Anolis sagrei: one gene and its partner. The protein of the gene in region 2 purifies or fractionates together with the protein of the main gene of each other region. This does not show direct contact. Links are inferred from orthologs where the notes say so. Each region holds a gene or a part of one and is shown on either strand. Other genes may lie near its edges.

Region 1 (8,230 bases), on a different chromosome or scaffold from region 2:
ACCCTGTGTCAACTTGAAGGGCGCCTGTAGAACAACGGTGTTCCTACATCTAGATGCTAATCTCTCCATTGTGTATAAAACAAAACTAAAGCTGTAACTCTCAAATGGCACATTAATGAGTTAATTTAGAAAACATGCACTACCCCATGAACCAATATATTGAATGGCTTTTGAAAAAAGAGTTTAAGATTCATGGTTTATTACAGAAATTGCAGTGCTGATTTCTGACTCATAGTAAGTTTAAAAGACATTTTTGCTGGTTAATATTCCTCCTCAATGCATGGAAGTAATATGGAAGTAATTAGCCTGCATTATTTTTGCTACCAGACTTATTACTTGTTAAACAGAGCTGGTGTGGAGACACCAACTAGGGATGAACAACTGGATGAAGCTAGACTCTGTTTAAGATATGTAATGGTTCTGTGTTAACATGATCTAAATACAAACGAGAAATCTTGTGAAAAGTGAACCAGATTGTAGTTTCCTTGTATACATATTAAAGAATGTAGACACACTCACATGAACTGTATTTGAACACTTATAGAGTGGTAACTCCAGGAGAACTGTGCTTTTTACTGGGTGATTGTAACTAATATGTATTGATTAAAATTATTAGTTTCTTGGCTTTGTCCATACGCTTACAAGCAATGCCTAAATGTGTTGCTTGTAAAAATATTGATGTAATAGCCGTTTCCTAATTAGAATAAAGTTTTGACTTACTGTGCCAATTAAGCTGAGTATGTGGCTGATCTCTTAAAAGACCACTACTATCTTCTGCAGCAGAAAAATGAATTCATTTTATTTATTTTATAGACTACCTTTTGCCTAAGAAATTGGCTACATTAGTAGCACATGCAAAATTGATACCAAATCAGTTGATAGCACATGAAAAAAATATGTACTGATTTTTTAAAAATGACAAATAAAGTAGAAACGCCTTAAAAGTTTGTGGATTCTGTTTTGAGCATGCAATAGAGCAGATTATCACATAACAGCTCTCATGATATCAACAAGCTGCATTATGCACATAATGGATTTTACAATATATATACAACATATGCAATTTCACACACACGTGCGTGTAGTGATTTATGCTACGATTTTGTTGCTTTCTTTATTCCCGATCTCTGTGTAGTAATCTGCCTAGAATGGTGAAACTTTGTCACCACCAGTCTATTCATAAAGGAAGGCAAATTCTGAATTCAAAACGAGACTGCAATGCCTCTTTGTTTCCAATATGCTTTTAAAAAGATAAAACCGTGAACCGCAACAAGGTTGCAAAGGAGGAACGCTGTTTAGGTTCTGCTACTGACAAGGCCTGTGCAATATGACAGTAAACAAAACATTGGGTTTTCACATTGGCAATCCAGCTCAACTTGTGTGACTTGCACTGAACCTTTCCCTAAAAGAGGAATGAAAAACTGCCCAGGGATTGGGTTAGACAGTTGCAGCCAATCCAGGGGCTGCATAAATTGCTGCCGAAGACAGAAAAAGAGATACAGACACAAGAGTAAGTATTTATGGTGTGGAATAGTACAGGGAAGCATTGCTATTGATTTAAAAGGTGAATTGCTATTTGGCACAACTCACTTTCATTGGCTGGAAAACAGAAAGATGCTTGGAGGGATCAAAGGCCACAAAAAGAGGCTTGGCAAGGCACTATCAAACAGCTATCCTCAAACTCCAGCCATCCAGCTGTTTGGGACTTCAACTCTCAGAATTCATGACCATTGAACAAGTTAACTGGGCTTCTGGAAGATGGAAATCCAAATTGTAGGATGGCTGGAGTTTCAAGATGCCTGCTGTAAAACAAATGCGGCTCAACATCACTTCACTTGCCATGGCTCAGTGCTATGGAATCCTGAGAGTTGTAGTTTGGTAAAGGACCAGCACTCTTGAACAGAGAAAGCTCAAGACATTGTAAAATGATAATACACAGGATTCCTTTGAAGTGAGCCATTTCTTTGCATTGAGCCGAGCAGTGTCAAACTGCACCAATTCTACAGTGTAGATCAGTGGTTCTCAATCTGTGTTTTGGCCTTCAACTCCAAGAAATCCTAATAGCTGGTAAACTGGCTGGGATTTCTGGGAGTTGTAGACCAAAACACCTGGGGCCTCGCAGATTGAGAACAACTGGTGTAGAAGTACTCTTAAGGCTGGTTCTGCATGGATGACTCAATGCTATTGGATCCTGGCTAAGGGATCCAGCCATGGCTCCATGCTATGGGATCCTAGGATGTGCAGCTTGATGAGGTCCCAGCACTCTTGGGCAGAGAGGGCTTAAAACGTTGTAAAAGTCTTGCTGCCAGGATCTTGTTGATTGGGCTTGGCCCCATATAAGCTGCCTTGAGTCCCTTTGGGGAGATGGGAGTGGGGCATAAAATAAAGTTATTATTATTATTATTATTATTATTATTATTATTATTTGAAACACAACAAGATGAGTCCACAGCAGACACTCTGCTGGCTGTTGACACTTCCTAAGTGTCTAGGACTGTGTGATGTATCAACGAATAATGCATGCAGATCCCAGCAAGGTGGCCTTCTGCAGCTGGCAGATGGTAATTTTGTCAGTGTGATTGTGTTTAAGTGCAGACCAAGGTCTTTAGGCACTGCACCCAGTGAGCCGATCACCACTGGGACCACCTTGATTGGCTTATGCCAGAGTCTTTGCAGTTTGATTTTTAAATCCTCATATCATGTCAGCTTTTCCAGTTGTTTCTCTTCAATCCTGCTGTCACCTGGCATTGCAACATCAACAATCCATACTTTGTTTTTTAACATGAATGTGATTATTATTATTATTATTATTATTATTATTATTATTATTATTTGAAACACAACAAGATGAGTCCACAGCAGACAAGATCACTCTGCTGGCTGTTGTATTGGGTCTATGTTGGACAACATATTGTCGAAGGCTTTCATGGCTGGAATCACTGGGTTGTTGTAGGTTTTTTGGGCTATATGGCCATGTTCTAGAGGCATTCTCTCCTGACATTTCCCCTGCATCTATGGCAAGAATCCTCAGAGATAGTGAGGTCTGTGGACAAGTCTACATAGGGACCACCAAATGCAGCGCCCAAACACGAATCAAGGAACATGAAAGGCACTGCAGACTACTTCAACCAGAGAAGTCAGCCATAGTAGAGCACCTGATGAACCAACCTGGACACAGAATATTATTTGAGAACACAGAAATGCTGGACCACTCCAACAACCACCATGTCAGACTACACAGAGAAGCCATTGAAACCCACAAGCACGTGGACAATTTCAAAAGAAAGGAGGAAACCATGAAAATGAACAAAATCTGGCTACCAGTATTAAAAAAACTCTAAAATTAAAACAGCAAAACAACAGAAGGGAAACAATCTGGGACATCTAATCACCTCTCAACAAAAGATTGCTCCAGGCACTAACAAGCCACACCAAACAACAGCCAGGCCATTAAATGCTAATCAAGGTGGTCAGTTGAAACATTCACACCTAGCTCCAGCAGACAAGAGTCCTTTTTCCCACCCTGGTCATTCCACAGATATATAAACCCCTTTTCCTAGTTCCAACAGACCTCACTACCTCTGAGGATGCTTGCCATAGATGCAGGCAAAACGTCAGGAAAGAATGCCTCTAGAACATGGCCATATAGTCTGAAAAAACCTACAACAACCCACATGTTGGACACTTCCCAAGTGTCTAGGGCTGTGTGATGTATCGGCAAATAATGAGTGCTGATCCCATTAAGATGGCCTTCTGCAGCTGGCAGATAGTAATCTTGTCAGTGCTGATTGTGTTTAAGTGCAGGCCAAGGTCTTTAGGCACTACACCCAATGTGTTGATCACCACTGGGACCACCTTGGCTGGCTTGTGCAAGAGTCTTTACATTATTATTATTGTCGTTATTGTTGTTATTGTTGTTATTATTGTTGTTGTTGTTGTTACCACTGAGCTAGTGTTTCTCAATCTCTGGTGAAGTCCAAAACAAGACTTCAACTCAGTTCTTGTGGGTTTTTTCGGGCTATATGGCCATGTTCTCTAGAGGCATTTCTCCTGACGTTTCACCTGTATCTGTGGCAAGCATCCTCAGAGGTAAGGTCTGCATCTATGGCAAGCATCCTCAGAGGTGACCTCACCTCTGAGGATGCTTGCCATAGATGCAGGCGAAACGTCAGGAGAAATGCCTCTAGAACATGGCCATATAGCCCGAAAAAACCCACAAGAACTGAGTGATTCCAGCCATGAAAGCCTTCGACAATACAAGACTTCAACTCCCAGAATCCTTTGCCATTGGCCATGACAGCTGAGGCTCCTGGGAGTCGAAGTTCCACATAGCTAGAGGGTCAGAGTTTGAGAATCACTGGGTCTCCTTTTCCTGCAGGAACAGCGACTGCCTGTTTTTCTTCCTGGGCGCAAAAGAGAGAGCCTATGGCTTAATGGCTCGCCAAGGAAGACCTGGTTTCTTCTTCTGGACGTTCCCAGGCCCGCCTTGTTTATTGTGAAGCTCCCTCAAGGCTTGGCTGTCCCTTGAACTCCCTCCGACACAGCCAGAGGCACGTTGCGCACGCCTTACCTTTCCCAATGACTTCCAGCAGCTCTTTCTCCTCCTGGCTCAAGTCGCCTTTCTTCGGGGGAGCCATGGCTGCCCTTCTCCTGATAGGAATCCCAAGATGGAGCCCTTCTTCCCTCTTTTCCTTGGCTGGATTCAGGCCTTCAAAGCCCAGCTACGGCGCGGCCACCCGAGACGGACATCTCCCCTCCCGCCGCTCTTTCCTCTCCGCCTCAAAAAACCTCTCAACCTCGCGCGGGCCGAACCACTCTCGCGCCCAAAAAAAAAAAGAGAGACGACGAGCCTAAAACACGGGTCCCTTCCCTCTTTTGAAACCCAGACCCCCCAGCAGTTGTTCCTCATTCCGTACAGGAAGGAAAAGGTGTCCCCAAAGCGAAAGAGACCCAAGTTTATATTCTTTTGTCCTCCCCCCGAAGTTGGACAGAATGGTACGTCCTGGAGGAGGAGGAGGTTGATAAGTGGCTCCGTGCGTGAGTGCGTGTGTCAATGTTGCTGCCCTTCACTTCTTCATTGTCTGCTGCTGGAAGCGTCGCTCCTTCGCCTGTTTCCCCCGTTTCTTCCTTAGAGAGAAGCCCTTTCCCCGAGAGAGGTAAGAAGGGGCCTTTTGGAGAGAAAATAGAGGAAGGAAAGAGGAGGAGGAAAAGGAAAGGGAGGAAAGGCTTGGCTGCACAAAAGAGGAGTCAAGCCGCGTGCCTTTCAAAGGGCCTCCGAAGAAGCCCCCCCCCCCCCGCTCTCTTTGCCTTGCCTGCCCATTGAGCACCTCTTGAAGCTCAAGGGTGAAGAGGAAGCATTTGGTGAACTTGGGCTTTTGTGGTTTTGTGGCTCCCAAGGTGACTCGCAAAGCCTGGCTTTGGAAGGGTTGGTGAAGGGGCAGCGGGAGCTTTCCAAAGCCGTCGGGGAGGCTCAAGGGTCAGTAGGGTTTATCTGCAAGGGATGCCCGCTAGAGCGGTTCGATCCCGCTTTAACCTCCCTCTCATGGAACCCTCTAGGTTACTGAGGTTCTCCAATGCCATCTTTTGAATGAGCCTTTCAGCTCTTGGACAGGGAAGTCTAACAGTGCATCTGTAGTTTATGGATACAGCTTAACACCGCTTTACCTGCCATGAACCCCTTTTAATATAATAATAATAATAATAATAATAATAATAATAATAATTTTTTATTCGTGCCAGGAGCAACTTGAGAAACTGCAAGTTGCTTCTGGTATGAGAGAATTGGCCGTCTGCAAGGACATTGCCCAGGGGATGCCCGGATGATTTGATGTTTTTTATCATCCTTGTGGGAGGCTTCTCTCATGTTCCCACATGAGGAGCTGGAGCTGATAGAGGGAGCTCATCCGCCTCTCCCCGGATTCGAACCTGCGACCTGTCGGTCTTCAGTCCTGCTGGCACAGGGGTTTAACCCACTGTGCCACCAGGGCTCAAAATAATAATAATAATAATAATAATAATAATAATCTTTATTTATAACCTGCCACCATCTCCCCAAACGGGACTCGGGGCGGCTAACATGAGGCCAAGCCCAAAATAATACAACATAGTTAGACACAAAATAGCAGGGAAATACATCATAACAAAATATATAAAATAACAAAATAAACAGTATAAAATGGCATATTAAAATCAAACACAAAGGGCGGGCCAGATGCATGAGATAAAATGTTAAAAGGTTTAAACCCTGGGTGAGATAGGAAAATAAAAGTGCATTTATGAGAGAGGAGCCCGAGAAGGAATCTTATATGGAATCTTATAACCTCATAACACAAGAGAATGAATCCACTTTAAATCCTGTTGCTGCCTCCTACAGATTTCTGCGATTTGTAGTTTAGAGAGGAGCCTTTAACAGGCTCACTAAACTACAAACCCCAGAATTCTGCAGGAGGCAGAAACCAGATTTAAAGTGGATTTGTTCTCTAGTGTGATGAAGTAGTTATAGGATATTGAAGCCTTTGAATTCACTGGGATGTTGTAGGTTTTTTGGACTGTCTGGCCATATTCTAGAAGCATTCTCCTGACATTTCGCCTGCATCTGTGGCAAGCATTCTTAGAGGTTGTGAGGATGCTTGCCACAGATGCTGGCCAAACGTCAGGAGAGAATGCTTCTAGAACATGGCCAGACAGCCCCAAAAAACCTACAACAACCCAGTGATTCTGGCCATGAAAGCTTTTGACAATACCTTTGAATTCAACTCTGCGGCCCCTTGCACACCACTGAATAAAATCCCACATTATCTGCTTTGAACTGGAATGTATGGCAGTGTGGACTTGGATAACCCAGTGCAACGCAGATATTGTGGGATTTTCTGCCTCGGTATTCTGGGATATGGGACTGTGTGGAAAAGCCCTGAGCTCTTCAGTCAGGAAGTCCAAGGATGCATTTACACTGTTGAGATTGAATGAAACTTGACTCTCCTTTAACTGTCATGGCTCTCTCTTGTGGAATCCTGTAGATTGCTGAGCTTCTCCACTTCTGTCCCTCAAATTAGCCTTTGAGTTTTTGGGCAGGGAAGTCTACACTGTAGACTGAATGCAGTTTGGCCCCACTATTAACTGCCATGGCTCAGTGCTGTGAAAGCATAGGAGATGTAGGGTCCTTCCACACAGCCCTATATCCCAGAATATCAAGGCAGAAAACCCCACATTATCTGAGTGTGGACTCAGGACCCTTCCATACAGCCCTGTATCCCAGAATATCAAGGCAGAAAATCCCACAATATCTGCTTTGAGCTGGGTTATCTGAGTCAGATAACCCAGCTCAAGGCGGAAAATCCCACATTTTCTGAGTGTGAACTCCGATAACCCAGTTCAAAGCTGATATTATGGGATTTTCTGCCTTGATATCCCAATATAGGGTTGTGCGGAAGGGCCCTAAATATCTCATGAAACCACATGATTCTGTAGGATGGAGATATGGTAGGGAAAATGGCATCAAACTGCTTGAATTAGACACAAGCAGAGGAGAAGGAAATGTGAAAGGTGATAGAGTAAAGATATTTTGCTGGCATGGACACTGTCAAATTAATGCAGCCCAACACAGCTTTAACTGTTATAGCTAAGTTCTGTGGTATCACAGCTGTTGTCATTTTTAGTCTTTAGCCTTCTCTCCAAAGAATGCTGATGCCTCACAAAACTACTTACCCCAGAATTCCACAACATTGAGCTATGGCAGTTAAAGTGGGGTCAGGCTGCATTAATTTAACAGTGTGGATTTGATGTGCAACTGCAGATATTCCCCCTTTGCTTCCTCTGTTGTCACTTTCGGAAAGCCCCTGGTGAAGGTGACCAAGGAGAGATTTCCTTCTTGCCTTTTTCAGTGAGAACACGGCAAACTGGAAGAAACCGGATTTGGTTCTCTTCTATTCTACAGCAGTGAGGGTGTGAGATGAGAATTGATTTGTTCTGTGGCTGTTAAACAAATCAAGGAGGAGGCTGGTGGTGTTGCTCTGCACGTAGACTCCATAGGGGTTGAGGCAACCTGAACCAGTGTTGTGTACTGAGGCTATTGCCTCTCTCCATCAGAGACTTCGTGTCGCATTTTGGGAGGTTTTGAGTCTCTCAAGACTTGGAACTCAAGGCCCTTCCACACAGCCCTATAGCCCAGAATATCAAAGCAGAAAATCCCACAATATCTGCTTTGAACTGGGTTATCTGAATCCACTCTCAG
Region 2 (7,513 bases):
TATTGTTTAGCCAGTACTGCACCACCTGATATCCACCAGGAAGTAGAGCCAGCAATTAGAGGACCAAGGCATTGACATCTCCAGCCCATCCCCTGTTCAGATATCAGCCAGCATGCCAACGACTTAGTAAAAAGCTTACTAAGATCTACAGAGATACTCGCAGGAACACCTCAGCAAGCGAGAGTCCAAAAGTGGCAGGCTAAAACCCAGAGCCTCAATCAGTGGCTGATCCTGGATGAGAAACTCCTTCCTTGGGACACAGAAGAGTGGGTGGCCTGGAAGGCACTGAACAGGCTGCACTTTGGTGGCACAAGATGCAGCGCCAATCTTAAGAAATGAGGCTACAAAGTGGAATCCATGACATGCATATGTGGAGCAAAGCAAACCACAGACCACTTACTACAATGCAGTCTGAGCTCCACCACAAGCATAGTGGAGGACCTTCTTACAGCAACAACAGAGGAACTCCAAGTTGCCAGTTTCTGGTCAAAGGACATTTAGTATAATGCCAAGTTTTACCTTTGTGGTTTTTTTATACATTATAACTGTATTCTCAATTCGTTTCTGATGCAATAAATAAATTATTTCCAGGAAAGTACATCTACACTGTGTATAGTGTACTTTCTACACTGGATGATGAGTGCAGTTTGATCCCATGGCTCAATGCTAGGGAAGCATGGGAGTTGTAGTTTTACAAGGTCTTTCACCCTCCCAAAGAGTGCTGGTATATACCCCAACTACTATTCTCATGATTCCATCACCCTGAGCCATGGCAATCAAAGTGGTGCCAAACTGAATTAATTCTACAGTACAGGTGCCCTACTGTCCTGCAAACCGGTATGTACAGTGTTGCTCCTATCTTCTTTTAAGTTGCTTCTCGCCAGCACAGCTGTCCTCTTAAGAAAGGGCGTCTGTGAATTGTTTCAGGCTGAGATCACTTGCAGGGCTCAACAAGCACTTTCTGCTTTTCTTCGCTTGCAAGTGTTAAGGCACACTTTACCTCGCTACAGTGTACATCCAGTCCATAAATGGCACTCTCTCAGTTCTGGCACCCATCAATCAATAATGCTCCATTTGAGTTGTTAGAATGAATGGAAGGCAGCTCTGATAAGAACGTTCTGTCACTTTTAGTAGTTTGATGTATCAGAAATCTTCCATTTTTGTCTTTTACTTGAATAGAGGAAAACTCCCTATTACTTTTACTTTCCCATGATTCCATTGCACTGAGCTATGGCACTTAAAGTTGGATCAAACTGCATTAATTCTATCGACAGCAGTGTTTCTCAACCTTCCTAATACCTCCAACCACAAAATTATTTTTGTTGCTACTACATAATTGTAATTTTGCTACTGTTATGAATCGTAATATAAATATCTGATATACAGGATGTATTTTCATTCACTGGACCAAATCTAGCACACATAGCCAATACACTCAAATTTGAATGCTGGTGAGGTTTTTTTTGGGGGGGGGGGGGTTTGGCGGGGGGGGGGGAAGGGGATTGATTTTGGGTTGTTGTAGGTTTTTTCGGGCTATATGGCCATGGCCTAGAGGCATTCTCTCCTGACATTTCGCCTGCATCTATGGCAAGCATCCTCAGAAGTAGTGAGGTCTGTTGGAACTAGGAACCATGAAAATGAACACAATCTGGCTACCAGTATTAAAAAACTCTAAAATTACAACAGCACAACAACAGAGAGGAAACAAACAAGGACATCTAATCACCTCTCAACAAAAGTTTGCTCTAGGCACTGCCAGGCAATCAAATGCTAATCAAGGTGATCAGTTTAAACATTCACACCTGGCTCTAGCAGACAAGAGTCCTTTGTCTCACCCTGGTCATTCCACAGATATATAAACCCTTTTTTCCCTCCTTTCTGTTGAAATTGTCCACATGCTTGTGTATTTCAATGGCTTCTCCGTGTAGTCTGACATGGTGGTTGTGAGAGTGGTCCAGCATTTCTTTTGTCATTTTGATTTTGTCATTTGGGAGTTGTAGTTGATGGGATTTATAGTTCACCTACAATCAAAGAGCATTCTGAACTCTCCCAATGATGGAATTGAACCAAACTTGGCACACACGACCAATAGAAAATACTGGATGGGTTGGTGGGCAGTGACCCTGAGTTTTGGAGTTGTAGTTCACCTACATTCAGAGCACTAAGGACTCAAACAATGAAGGATCTAGACTCAACTTGGTGCAGATACTTAATAAAAAATGTGAAAAATGGTGGGGTTTGGGGAAAATAGACCTTGACATTTGGGAGTTGTAGTTGCTGGGATTTATAGTTCACCTACAATCAAAGAGCATTCTGAACTCCACCATGGATGGAATTGAACCAAACTCAGCACACAGAATTCCCATGACAAACAGAAAATACTGGAAGGGTTTGGTGGGCATTGACCTTGAGTTTTGGAGTTGTAGTTCACTTACATGCAGAGAGCACTGAGGACTCAAACAATAATGGATCTGAACCAAACTTGACACAAATACTCAATATGCCCAAATGTGAACATTGGTGGAGTTTGGGGAAGATAGACATTTGGCAGATGTAGTTGCTGGGATTTATAGTTCACCTACAATCAAAGAGCATTCTGAACCCTACCAATGATAGAATTGGGCCAAACTTCCCACACAAAGCCCCCATGACCAACAGAAAGTTTTTTGATGGTCTTTTGTGACCCCTCTGACACCCCCTCGTGACCCCCAGGTGGAGAAACGCTAATCTACAGACTTTGGACCTAGGGCAGGCTATTAGGAATTGTGGGAGTTGGAGTCCAAAACACTTGGAAGGCCAAAGTTTGCCCATGCCTGGTCTAGATGCACTGCTAAATTCATAAAATCATAGAATCAAAGAATTGGAACAGACCTCATGGGCCATCCAGTCCAACCCCCTGCCAACAAGCAGGAATATTGCATTCAAAGCACCCCTGACAGATGGCCATCCAGCCTCTGTTTAAAAGCTTCCAAAGAAGGAGCCTCCACCACACTCCGGGGCAGAGAGTTCCACTGGTGAACGGCTCTCACAGTCAGGAAGTTCTTCCTCATGTCCAGATGGAATCTCCTCTCTTGTAGTTTGAAGCCATTGTTCCACGTCCTAGTCTCCAAGGAGGCAGAAAACAAGCTTGCTCCCTCCTCCCTGTGGCTTCCTCTCACATATTTATACATGGCTATCATGTCTCCTCTCATCCTTCTCTTCTTCAGGCTAAACATGCCCAGCTCCTTAAGCCGCTCCTCATAGGGCTTGTTCTCCAGACCCTTGATCATTTTAGTCGCCCTCCTCTGGACACATTCCAGCTTGTCAATATCTCTCTTGAATTGAGGTGCCCAGAATTGGACACAGTATTCCAGGTGTGTGAAATGCAAGTGAAACTTTAATTTCACAAAACTTTTAGTACTTTCCCCACTCAAAACAAACCCTATTTAAGTAGAGAAGGAATAAGAAGGAATCCATACTCACTTTTCTCCAGTCTTGCTTTAAACACCGAGAGAACACACTCCAACTAGTCGCCAAGCAAAGCCACGCCCACCGCCCTGCACAAGGCCCCGCCCCTTTTCAAGAACACATGCGCGCGGTTTCGAAGCATGCCGGGAGTTGTAGTCTTCCAAAACAGGACGCACGTCGTTTGACGCACAGCATGGCGGGGAGGGTCATTGCGTGAAGGTCGCGAAGCATGCCGGGAGGCGCAAGGCCGTAAGGGAGTAACGGCTTCTCGGCGTGGTTTAGTGTCGTGGTTGCCGCCTCCCTCCCGCACCGTTTTTCCCCTCTTCTTCTTCAAGGAGGCTTTCGAGGCGGAGAGAGAGAGAGAGAAAGAGAGAGCCCTTCTTTGGCCGGGCTTTCCTGAGGGCCATGTCCTACTGCAGGCAAGAAGGTACCCGGGGATCTCTGGCAGGAGGGGAGGGGAGGAAGGAGGCAGAGCAGGCCTCGGGCCCCAAGCGAAGGACCCAAGGCGAAGGGCTCCTGGGAGTTGTAGCTTTACAAGGTCTTCAGCCTTCTCTGTCAAAGGAAAAGGATTCTTCGCAAATCCAGAGGTTAAAATGGGGTCAAAGTGCATTATTTCTACAGTGCAGATGCACCAAGGTGACCCAGGTCTCACCTGCACTGGACCTACAATCCAGTTTCTGAAAACAGATTATCTGATTTTAAACTAGATTACAGGAAGTCCCCAAATTACGAGCAAGATAGGTTATGTAAATTTGTTCTTATTATAATAATGTAATACAATATAGTAATAATACAGTAGAATATATAATAACATTGTAATATAATAAGGCTAAGATATTATATCTGATACTACTGATAATATATAACAATATATAATGATATACTCTATTATTATTTTATATTTTAGTTTGTAGTGTTTTTGATTGGGAGCTGATTTGAGTGTCTGCTTTGAGAGATAAAGCAAGATATAAATAAAATAAGTCAGATCATTTTTTCAGTATAGTTCCAGATAGATAGATACACACACACACCAGGTTTAGATAATATAGGGAAGGGTGAACACCCCTGTGGTGTTGTTTTGCTGTCTGTGCCGCTGTTCAAAAGATTTCATCCTGTGATAATTGGATTTTGAAAACTGCATTAATTCTACAGCAGGGGTCCTCAAACTTTTTAAACAGAGGGCCAGGTCATAGTCTCTCAAACTGTTGGAGGGCCAGATTATAATTTGAAAAAAGGATAATGAATTTCTATGCACACAGCACATATCTTATTTGTAGTGCAAAAAACACTTAAAAACAATACAATAATTAAAATGAAGAACAATTTTAACAAATATAAACTTATTAGTATTTCAATGGGAAGTGTGGGCCTGCTTTTGGCTGATGAGATAGGATTATTGTTGTTGTATGCTTTCAAGTCATTTCAGACTTTGGTTGACCCTGAGCGAGGACCGGGTAAATGACCTTGGAGGGCTGCATCCGGCCCTCGGGCCTTAGTTTGAGGACCCCTGTTCTACACTGTAGATTCGTTCTCAGTTAAGAAGGACAATAGACTAGATGTTGTGTAAAGAGTAACTCTGGTATCAAAAGGCTAGTAATCATAAGCAGTTTGTGGACCAACGACTTAGAAGTGGGAAGGCCCATCTAGTCCAATCCTCTGCTGTATAGGAACACATAGCTAAAACAGTCTTTCTAAGACAAGCATGGGCAAACTTGGGTCCTCCAGGTGTTTTGGACTTCAGCTCCCACAATTCCTAACAGCTGGTAGGCTATTAGGAATTATGGGAGTTGAAGTACAAAACACCTTGCTGGATGAAGTTTGCCCATGCCTGTTCTAAGGGATAGCCATCTTGTATGAACTTCACATGTTTAAGTTAATTTTTCACAAAAGACAAAATTCAACGTGAAAGGAATAGATATAGCACTTACTTTGCATCTTTGTTGAGGTTTTATCTAGGTTTTTTCCTTGTTCTTGCTTGGGAGAGAACCCTGTGAGGTCAACCAGGTGAGATTCAAGGTCATTCATTGGGAGTCATGTGGCTGAACCTCTGCCATATTGAGATATTCTTGAGAAAGGGTATGGGTTTGAAATTTTCCTCCTAACTTACTCTTCAATATTTCTGGATAGGTAGAGTATTAAAAGCTTGTTTTCTACTGCTCAGAAAACACAGAGCAATGGATTCAAATTACAGGAAAAGAGATTCTAACTAAAATTAGGAAGAACTTCCTGACAGTAAGACGGATTTGCCAGTGAAATACGCTTCCCTGGAGCATGGCTGAGGCTCCTCCTTTGTAGGTTTTTAAACAAGCTGAATGACCACCTATTGGAAGTACTTTGATTATGCATTGCTGCATGGCAGAAAGGGATTGGGCTAAATGACTCTTGGGTCTTTTTCAACTTTGATTCTAAAAGGTTGCATTCCCAAGAAACATGGAAGCCTATCTACATCTTTTCTTTCCAAGGGCAGGAGACACGCTACAGTGCATATTACAGTCTTCTGTTTGAAAGGTACTTTGGAGGTGGTAGGGCTCAAAATGTATACCATATATACTTGAGTATAAGCCGACCCAAATATAAGCTGAGACACCTAATTTTACCACAAAAAAACTTGGAAAACGTATTGACTCGAGTCTAAGCCAAGGGTGAGAAATGCAGCAGCTACTGGTAAATTTCAAAATAAAAATAGATACCAATGTCCTCAATTACATTAATTGAGGCATTACTAGGTTAAATGTTTTTGAATATTTACATAAAACTGTTATTTAAGATAAGACTGCCCAACCCTGATTAAATCATTATTCTAACCTTCAATGTAAATGTGCTTACATATTCTTCCAATAGTAATAGAGTAAAATAATAAATGTAATAAAAATAATAATAGAGTAAAATAATGTAAATGTAATAATAATAAAAATAGAGTAAAATAATAAATGTAATAAAAATAATAATTACAGAGTAAAATGATAAATAACTTTGACTCAAATATAGGCTGAGGAAGGCTTTTTCATCCTAAAAAAAGAGCTGAAAACTCAGCATATACTTGAGTATATACAGTATATCAAGGTTGCTTAGGCTACACTAACATCACCTTGGAACATGTGTGGCAACGAGCAACTCTATGGCAGCATTCAGCTCCCAAGGCTGTTCCTGTCAGTCTGAACCTATGGTATATTTCTGTATGGAAAGCAGACACTGACATAAGGGAAATCTTTTGGCCTAGTTGCTGATAAGGCAGGTCAGGAAGCTTTGAGATAGCTTTTTGGATTGCTAAAATTGGATCTGTGAGGCAGCTTCACTTTCCCAATCCTTGTTCCCATGGAAGGGATAGTTTGACATTTTTTGTACCATAAGTTATTCTGTAGGTGAAAACAAGTGGAAATCAAAACATAGGATATATTTGATACCTTTAAATCAAGCATCACTCTTGATCATTTTATTCTGAGGACTAATGATGGCTTAACATTGGGATTTTGCATATTTTATTTCCCCATTATGTTTATGAAGTTGATTAAACAGAAGGCCGTTTCACTACCTGGCAGCATTATCTAACACATTCTTGCTCCTTGACATAGATTTATTGCTGAGTGAGTAGTAGGCCTTGTATGTATTTTATGTTCTCATTTTTATGATCGTATTTAGTTCTTGGTGTTGATTTTAGAAGTTGTTCTTTTCCTCATTCTTAGTGTGAAGGCTCATTGAGTTTTCTCTTTACATTTCTTTCAATTTTCCCTTTCCTTGCACATAGAACGGAGTGAATGATGACACTGACTAGCAACTGCTGTCAAGTTGTGTAAGGATCACATGGTAACATCCAACAGAAGCATAAATTACAGCGTTTGATTTAATAGGGTACAGTTGAGGACATAGTCTAATGAAAAGCTAAATGAACACAAAGTAATTGCTGTAGGATAATAATAAAATCATAGGCATTTAGTAAAGCAGTTTAAATAAAAGTAATACGTGGATTTAAGGCTAAATAAAAGTTGTTTATTTACTTTTAAAGATATTATTATATTTATTGATTGCCTAGAGATACGCTTTGGCAAGCGGTATACAAAAAGTTGTG

What was found. Proteins that work in one complex are often made in the same cells at the same time.
Region 1: the proteins of TMEM43 (region 2) and BZW2 purify together in Homo sapiens (affinity purification with mass spectrometry; 3 studies listed by BioGRID and IntAct, counting the BioPlex papers as one, with this or other methods). This does not show direct contact. The link is inferred for Anolis sagrei from reciprocal best matches to the Homo sapiens genes TMEM43 and BZW2.

Annotation. Positions count from the first base shown.
Region 1 is NC_090026.1:96,118,936-96,127,165, reverse strand, and holds the start of BZW2 (eIF5-mimic protein 1), read left to right. Parts: upstream 1-4,970; 5' UTR 4,971-5,156; intron 5,157-8,230. Other genes in the region: ANKMY2 (ankyrin repeat and MYND domain-containing protein 2), read right to left, coding at 4,571-4,637. UniProt on the Homo sapiens protein: Translation initiation regulator which represses non-AUG initiated translation and repeat-associated non-AUG (RAN) initiated translation by acting as a competitive inhibitor of eukaryotic translation initiation factor 5 (EIF5) function.
Region 2 is NC_090022.1:52,196,043-52,203,555, forward strand, and holds the start of TMEM43 (transmembrane protein 43), read right to left. Parts: upstream 3,529-7,513; 5' UTR 3,463-3,528; intron 1-3,462. Other genes in the region: CHCHD4 (mitochondrial intermembrane space import and assembly protein 40), read left to right, coding at 3,853-3,874. UniProt on the Homo sapiens protein: May have an important role in maintaining nuclear envelope structure by organizing protein complexes at the inner nuclear membrane. Required for retaining emerin at the inner nuclear membrane.